Ovis aries: one gene and its partner. The protein of the gene in region 2 purifies or fractionates together with the protein of the main gene of each other region. This does not show direct contact. Links are inferred from orthologs where the notes say so. Each region holds a gene or a part of one and is shown on either strand. Other genes may lie near its edges.

The links.
Region 1: the proteins of NADPH--cytochrome P450 reductase (region 2) and EMC4 purify together in Homo sapiens (affinity purification with mass spectrometry; 3 studies listed by BioGRID and IntAct, with this or other methods). This does not show direct contact. The link is inferred for Ovis aries from reciprocal best matches to the Homo sapiens genes POR and EMC4.

Annotation. Positions count from the first base shown.
Region 1 is NC_056060.1:26,583,442-26,587,957, forward strand, and holds the start of EMC4 (ER membrane protein complex subunit 4), read right to left. Parts: upstream 2,885-4,516; 5' UTR 2,792-2,884; coding exon 2,706-2,791; intron 2,388-2,705; coding exon 2,273-2,387; exon of another isoform or gene 2,265-2,272; intron 624-2,264; coding exon 470-623; intron 146-469; coding exon 1-145. UniProt on the Homo sapiens protein: Part of the endoplasmic reticulum membrane protein complex (EMC) that enables the energy-independent insertion into endoplasmic reticulum membranes of newly synthesized membrane proteins.
Region 2 is NC_056077.1:34,650,854-34,654,659, reverse strand, and holds part of NADPH--cytochrome P450 reductase, read right to left. Parts: intron 2,413-3,806; coding exon 2,263-2,412; intron 1,834-2,262; coding exon 1,709-1,833; intron 1,319-1,708; coding exon 1,229-1,318; intron 882-1,228; coding exon 783-881; intron 1-782. UniProt on the Homo sapiens protein: This enzyme is required for electron transfer from NADP to cytochrome P450 in microsomes. It can also provide electron transfer to heme oxygenase and cytochrome B5.

The DNA of each region.
Region 1 (4,516 bases), on a different chromosome or scaffold from region 2:
AAGGCTAACCAATCTGATGCATGTGTAGGCAACAGTCCCATTGATTGGCACTTATAAACAGCCAATGCCAAACCCATAAGGTTGCCAATGAGATACACCAAACCCTGAAGAAACTTCTGGCTTGAACTTTCTAGCATCTTGAAAGCTGTTGGGGTAACAGAAAGTGTCAAAAACCAAAACAACTTTTTCTTCAGTATGAATCAGGCCATATATTAATATAAATAATACAAACAGCTCCATACTAAGACAGCCAATAGAACCATTAAAGGTGAACAAAAACCCACAAGCACCATTTTCCCCTCATGCCACCACCACTGCCATCACCACCCTGCAGCAGCTAGCCAAGAGCAAGCTCTGCCAAAGATTTACAGTGGGTTTTGCCAAAGAATTTGCCTCTGATTCTTAAAGCTTAGTTAGGGTGGATTATTATTTCAAGAATACTTACTGGCAAGAAAAAAAGAATACTTACTGGCTGAAATGGCCATAAGTGCCTGAATGGGTCGCCAAGCCATCATGCACACCATCATAGTAGGGAAGATGGAGATGGTATTGCCTGCCATGTACATGATGAAGAGGTTCATAGGAATCTGTTTTAGGGGACCCAAGGCAATGTCCCAGCAGCGCTACAACAAACACAGGTTTAACCACTGATTACTATCCTTAGTCCCACATTTATCATATCACTGACCTTAAAGTCAAATGAACACAATTCCCAGTTCTGTGCTTCTGAGCTAACTCCTCAATTCCACCACCTCTACCATTCTCTCACTTTGCCAAAGGAACCTTGCTCATCTACTAAAGATAAGGCATCCTCACTATTTTATGTTTTTCCCTATGGGTTTTCCAGATACCATTTCCCCCCCATGACTTTAGGTAAAGAAAGGACTTCCCTACTTTTGTTCTTATACTTCTGCACCTATCATTGTCCCATCTACAATTGAAGAACTAGATAAAATCCACATAATGGTAGATCAGCACACCTCATTTACTAACAGGACAGACAAATCAAGATATGTAAGATGTGAATGACATTATTAACACAACTGACATACAACACTGCACCTAACAGATAAAGAATTTACATGCTTTTCAAACACAGATGGGACATCTACAAAAACTGACAACTGAGCCATGGAGAACATGTCAGTAACTCTCAAATCATACAAAGCATATTATTTGATTATAATGTAATTGAGCTAGAAATCAGTAACAAAAAGATAACTAGAAATTTTTTCTTATGCCTTAGAATGAACAAATGTGCTCTAAATGATCCACTAATCAAAGCAGAACTGTCAGTGGAAAATACAAATATTAACTGATAAAAATACCATATATTAAAACTGTAAGACCCAGAGCTTTGAGCAATTTACACCTTTAAATACATATTAGAAGACTAAAAGTAATATCTAAGCATCTATTTCAAGAAATCAGATGAATAATAGAGACACAAGGAAATGGAAAGGAAGGAAATCAAAATGAGAGCAGAAACTAATGAAATTTGCTCTACATCAAGAAAGCCAAAGGGGCTTTTTGAAAAGCAGTATTAAGGCTGAGAGGAAAAAAGTGCCAGGCACTGTTGCAGGCACTTGGGAGACAAACATCTTGCTCTCACAGAGCTTGCAACAGTGAAAAGAGACAGTAAAATGTATGAATGATATGGATAAATATAAGAAAATAAGACAGGGAGTGCCATGAGGGTAGACTTCACTACAAAAGTAACATCTGAGAAACATAAAGGAGATGAGACAGCAAATCATAAAGGGATCTGGGGGAAAAGGGAAGAACAAGTACAAAAAGCCTGAAATAGGTTGCCTGGCATATTTAAGCAGCAGCAAGGAGGTCATTCTGGGGACAGGAGTGAACAAAAGGGAAAGAGGTAGGAGACGGAGTGACTTAGACCAGGATGATAGAGTAAAGCAATAAGAAATAAGATTTTCAATCTATTTGAACCAACAGACTACTCTGACAGACTGGATGAGTGGTATAAGGGTACCAGAGTAGAAAAAGGACTTCAACTGGAATGCGCTGCCCCAATTGATAATTTTCAACCTACTTTATTATACCTTATGTTCAACCGTCTTTTATTTTTCCAATTAGCACTTTTGGAGCTGATACGGTCAACTAATGTAACACTTATCTCAAGCAGTTTAGCTACCAAATATTCGGGATAAGGGCCATCTTCAGTAAGATATCCATATGCTGCCTGGAAGAGGAGGTAGGTGAGTAGCTCAGAACTGGCCCAAGGACTATGGTTACATCTATACCTCTGTACCTTCTCCACTAGGATCCGGTCTGTCTCTTGAACGCTGGTATCAGGCACTTGCTTGTCCAAGTAACCAACTGGGTACAGCGAGTCTCCCTGGCCACCGCCCCGGTCACTTCGGCCCCTACAGACCAAACCAAAAAAAACTAAGGCTGTAGCCTCCCACACTTCGTATCCCACATTTCCTGTTCTCATCATAGGAATAAAGATCCTCAGATGCATCTACCTATATTAGACCAAGCCCTCCCGTGGTTCGTCAGATCCTGGCCTACAGGGAAGGATGAAATAAGCATCCTTTGGACACAGAAACCTCCAGGCAGAGAAGCCATCAGCTCCCCAGGAGTCGTCTTTTTAGAGAGTTGTGCCTGAGGGCTCAGGTCCTGTTCCTCTGGGGTAGTCCTACAGTGAAAGCTCTGATATCGAGCTTTGCCCAGCACTTCACCTGCTGCCTCCTCCAGGTCCGCTCAGCTCAATCGCCCACTTGAAGCGCCGGCCTCGGTTAGCCACCAAGCTCCCTTGGGCAGTCATGGCAGCAGCCGCCTACAAATGCGGCAAAGCTCTGGACCAAAGCGTAGCTGGATCCCAAACCCAAATACCTCGGCGACTTCCTGGGCTCACTCTGTAAGTCCATTTCCGGCGCGCAACTATAGACGTCACTTCCGTCCCAGAAATTGTGCCGTGGCCAATTGGTGAGCTTGGTGCTAAAGGGACTGTTGCAGGGACTGTTGCGCTTTCTCTTCTTTCTGTGGAGACCTTCTGGCTGTTACTTGACCTCTGAGGTGCGGTTTATGGGACAGAGGAAAGTCTATACTGACCCTGCGTTAGAGGTTGAAGCCAAGAAAGTGAAGTGAAAGTCGCTCGGTCGTGTCCGACTCTTCGCGACCCCCGTGGACTGTATAGTCCATGGAATTCTCCAGGCAAGACTACTGGAGTTGGTAGCCTTTCCCTTCTCCAGGATATCTTCCCAACCCAGGGATGGAACTCAGGTCTCCCGCATTGTGGGCGGATTCTTTACCAGCTGAGCAACCAGGGAAGCCCAAGAATAGTGGAGTGGGTAGCCTAGCCTTTCTCCAGCGGATCTTCCCGACCCAGGAATCGAACCGAGGTCTCCTGCATCGCAGGCAGATTCTTTACTAGCTGAGTTACCAGGGAAGCGTTGAAGGCAAGTGCTTCTGCAACTTCTACGTCTTCTTGGGAACACAAGTTCAAATTTCTGTTTATATGCGTGGTTAAACCACGCATTGTGTGACTTTGAGCGAGTTGTTTAGTGGCTTCTGAGTGTTGAATGTCCACCGTATTCCAGGAGCTTTGTGTTTATTATATTCTTTAATTCTCAGAGTAACAATGCGTCGTAGATAGTTCTATCCCTGCCCTGCACAAAACCTGGGAAGCCTGTGGGCATTTTAAGACTCTTGGGCTCGAGATTCAGTTTCCCTTTGAGTCCTGGCTTCGCTACTTAATTGTGTGACTTTGGGGCAAGTCAGATTATTTGTTTTCAAACCTTTTCATGCCTAACCTGCTTTTAAGGCTTGTTCTGAGTTTAAACGGAGTGCTTGCCACAAATGCATTCCATGTTTTTTATTTTATTTTAAATTTTATTTATTTTTGGCTATGCTGGGTCTTTGTTGCTGCATGTGGCCTTTCTGTTATGAGGAGCAGGGATGGTGCAGTGGCTTCTCTTGTGCAGGAGGAACTCTAGGGCCAGCCGTCTTCAGTAGTTGCTGGGTATGGGCTCAGTAGTTGTGGCGCAGGGGCCTAGTTGTTCCTTGGCATGTGAGATCTTCCCTAATGAGGGATGGAATCTGTGTCCCCCAACCCTCACCCTGGCAGTCTGACTCCTAACTACTGGACCAGCAGGGAAGTCCTGTGTTTTTTCAACATCACTAATCTCCAACATTCTTCCTAGTGATTGGGTTTTATATTTAATTATATGCCTATATCATAATTAAACCTATTACCGGGTATTTAAGTTGCTTACTGCTTTTTTTGCCCTTTTATAACCAATATTGCTGCCATTGTCCTTCAAGTCATATACTCCTTCCCTTTTAAAGTACGCCTCTGCTTGGTATAAATTTTTTAGAGTGCTCATGTTCATGCCTAGTGGCTCAGTCTTATTCAGCTCTTTGCGACCTCATGGACTGTAGCCCACCAGGCTCCTCTATCCATGGGATTTTTCCAGTCAACAATACTGGAGTGGGTTGCCATTTCCTCCTCCAGGAGATCTTCTTGATCCAGGTATCAAACCTGCATCAG
Region 2 (3,806 bases):
GGGCAGACCTGGGTTATCAGTGTCCCTGTCTACAGACAGACTGATGCTGGTCTGAAACCTGGGGGCCCTCCACACCCGGTACCCACTGGTGGGCAGAGCACAAAGAGGGCCTGGCCCAAGAAGGTGGTTCCATAAGATGGAGGAAGGGCCTGGGTCCTGAGTGACTGCCCAGGGCTGCATGGGACAGGCTTTCCCACTGGGAAGTCACTGAAATGCGCTGTTGGCTGCAATTGCAGGGGCTGCCTAGAGTGGGGCTGCTGGAGGGTCAAGGAGGACCTTCCTGGGCAGCTCAAGGAGGTGTCTGGGTGGGGCCAGGTGCAAGTGAGGGGCCCCAGAGAGGAACACTTCGGACAAAAAGGTCCAAATATGGAGGCAGATTTGAAGGAAGCGAGCCCTTTGGTCAAGGTTCAGCCTAGACCCAGAGCTGAACTTGCTACATCCTGGTCCAGGAAGTGGTGGGCATCCCCCACCCCCGGATATTTAACAGGCAAATGAAGTACAAACTGAGCAAGTGCCAGTCTCCCCGAGGCCACGCTCTGGACCAAAGGACCACCAAGAGGGGAGGGGTCCCCAGGGCCCTGGGCTCGGAGCAGCCTTCCGTCTCTCTGCTCCAGGCCTCGTGCCCTCCTCTGGGGTGGAAATGGGCATGTGGGTGGCCCCAGCCAGGCCCCTTCCCGATGGAGGGAACGAGGAAGACCACGGGATGGGGCCTGGGAGGAAAGGCCCCGTGGAGACACACGGGACGGCCAGCCTTCTGGGCCCCAGCCACGCTCTCGACTCACGGTTTCTGGTTCTCATAGCTCTTCAGACGGCCCATCTCGCCCGTGTACACCTTGGCCATGTCCATGTCCGTGTGGACCATGAGTTCGTACTGGCGAATGCTGGAGCGGGGAGACCCAGAGTGAGGCTGAGGACTGGGAGGGCCAGGAGGCTGGGGGAGGGTCCCCAGGAGGGAGTGAGGCTGTGAGACCATGGGGCACGCCTGGGGGACGCGGGGCCAGGCATGACCCACAAGGAAGGAGATGTGTGAGTGCGGGGCAGGTAGGAGAGGTGGGGCAGCTGGGCCAGCAGGCCCGAGGAGGCCTGGAAGCCCACTCTGACCCTCACGTGCGGGCAAAGCCCAAGGGCCTGGGCCTGGGCCCTTTCCACACCCTGACTGAGCTTCCCCCAGCCCCACTGCGCCCACCGGGCCGGTTCCCCACCCACGGCACCAGCTGCACGCACTCACCTGGATTCCTCTCCGGTGGCTTCCACCCCGAAGTGCTCGCACACAGCCGGCCAGAACTGTTCTCGCCACGTGATGAAGTCCTCCTCCAGGCTGTGGACCAGAGGGGATGAGCCCGGGGCCAGATGGGGCTGCCAGGCCAGGCCTGGACCCTCTGTCCCCTGGCTCCCCCGCAAGCTCAAAGGTTCATTTCACACCAGCCCACCCAGTGATGTAAACCAGGGCAGCAGGAAGCATCCAGAGGGTCTGCGGTAACCACGGGAAGCCCTGTCAGCTGGGTGAGCTGGAAGGGTGTGGACAAGCAAGGAGGGCCTGGTGATGGGGGGCTGGCCTTCCCTCCCCATGGTGGGGCAGGTCACAGGGGTGCGCGGACACTATGGCTCTGCCCTGCCCTCCTGGGCCCCGGCCAGCCTGAATCTGTGGCTCCTGACACTCGACAGCCTGGGTGGGGGTTGAGGGTGGGGCTCAGGGTGGGGGACTCACTTCCCGTCGTCGTCGCCCAGCCCCAGATCAAAGATTCGCTGGGCCCCGAGCTGTTCCAGCCGCTTGTCCACGTACTTGCCCATGGCGTTGAAGTGCTCGTAGGTCTTGTTCCCAAGGGCAAACACCTGTGTGGATGAGGAGCCAGGGTCAGTGGGTCCGGCCAGACACCTCATAAGGGGAGGTCCCGGAGCAGCTTTGTTTCATTGACCCATAGCTCAGGCTCCTCCGTGGCCACCTTGGCCTGGACCCTGGCAGCTGCAGGGTGTTCACCCCACCCGATCCCTTGCCCAGCCGAATCTTGGTCAGCCCACTCCTCCTTTCTTGCCTTTTGTCTCTAGAAGCTAATGCCCCTGGGCACGGTGGGGCTGGGACACGGGAAGGGGGCTCTTAGTGCCGGGTTGGGCAGAAGAGAGGGTCACCACGTGAGCCCTTCCTGGGATTCCCGCCTACAAGCTCCCTGCCAGGCCCAGGCTCTGCAGATCAAGGTGAGAACTGGAGGTGTCCTCTTGGACACAAGCTTCTGGAGGTCACACGAGCCCACACGGGTGACTCACCGCATACTTGACCCCAGAGAGGTCCACATCCGTCTCCTGGAGCCAGTCGTAGAAGTCCTGGGCGTTGTCGGTGGGGTCCCCCTCACCGTAGGTAGCCATACAGAACACGGCCAGGGCTTTCTCAATCTCTGGTAGGCTGCTCAGGTCGGCCTGGGGGGACAAAGGCAGGGCCAGGCCAAGTGACCATGACTGAGCCGGCCCCCAAGTGCAGACAGGCGAGTCCTGGGCTCAGGGGAACAGAGTGCTTCTCAAGAGCGAACGGACAGCAGGCACAGAAGAGCACGGTGAGGGCCTGGGTGTGGAGAGCAGCAGCAGGGTTCCAGCCCAGGAGTGGGCACGTGGGACACGCTGCCACCTCTGGGGCACCTCAGCACCCTACAGAGTCCCGGGGGGCCTGAGCTCATGTGATTCCTAACCAACTGTCTGCCAACTCAAAACCCAGGTCCTAAGACAGAGGGATAGTGGTGCCATCCCCAAGACCGAAGGGGGCGTGTGTGTGGAGTAGGCGGGGGCTGGTTTGGTTTGGGTGAAGGAGGGGCACAGGTGGGAAGTAGCCGGCACTCAGAAGACAAGGCTTCTCAGGAAGTTCATCCATCACGTTGGAGCCCACGTGATGACTGGCCACGAGCCTGCAGGGAGAAGCAGGACGGCGCTCCCTGGGGCGTCTTCCCAGGACTAGCTGCTCTGTCAGCCCTGCCTCTCCTGGGGCCTAAGGACCACTCCGAGCCCTTCTCTGCCCACCGTGTCCCCTGGCGCTGCCGGCCTGGCCATCTCAGTGAGCAGACTGCTGGACGTTTCCTGCACTCTGGAGAGCTATGACCAGTGAAGGAGCCAGTGCTGGGAGGAGCGTGAGCAGGGTGAGTTGGCCCCCACGGCCTCAGAGACAGGCTGGGTGTGGCTGAGGCCAGGAGGTGGGGGCTGAGTCCTACAGACAGCGCTGTGTGGGCCCGAAGGAGCCACGTGCTGAGGACGGCTGAAGGAGGAGATGGGGGAGGGGGGATCCTGTAGCCCCAAATGGGGGCTTTCCCCTCAATCCCCGGGCTCTCCTGGGCCCTCCCCAAGCCCAGACACACGAGTTTACAGCCTCCAAGCAAAGCTGAGCTGCAGGGTTCCTAGAGATGGCTCGTCCAACACCCTCATCCCCTCCCTGTAGATGAGGCCCCCAGTGAGGGGCTAGGCCAGGTCCCCTAGGCAGTCGGGCGAGCGGGGTTAGAGTCCAGACACACCCCCGGCTCCTAAGTCCAGCCCCCCTGACACTGCAGTCCAGGAGATGGGGGTTGAGGGAACACGAGAGACGGTTCCTCTCCTGACCTGCTGAGACCCTGTCATCTTTTAAGCCATACCCAATCCACGAGGTGCCCAGGTCCCTTCTGTGGGCACCTGCCCAGCGCTTGTGGAGCCTGCAGCATGGAGAGCCGCAGGCAGCGCACCTGGACACACCTGGGCCAGGGGTTCTTTATGTCTGGAGGCTGCCTGGCTGCTGGGACAAATGACAAGAGGTGCCCAATCCCGCCTGTCCCTTTGCCTAACTCTGCCCTCCTGTC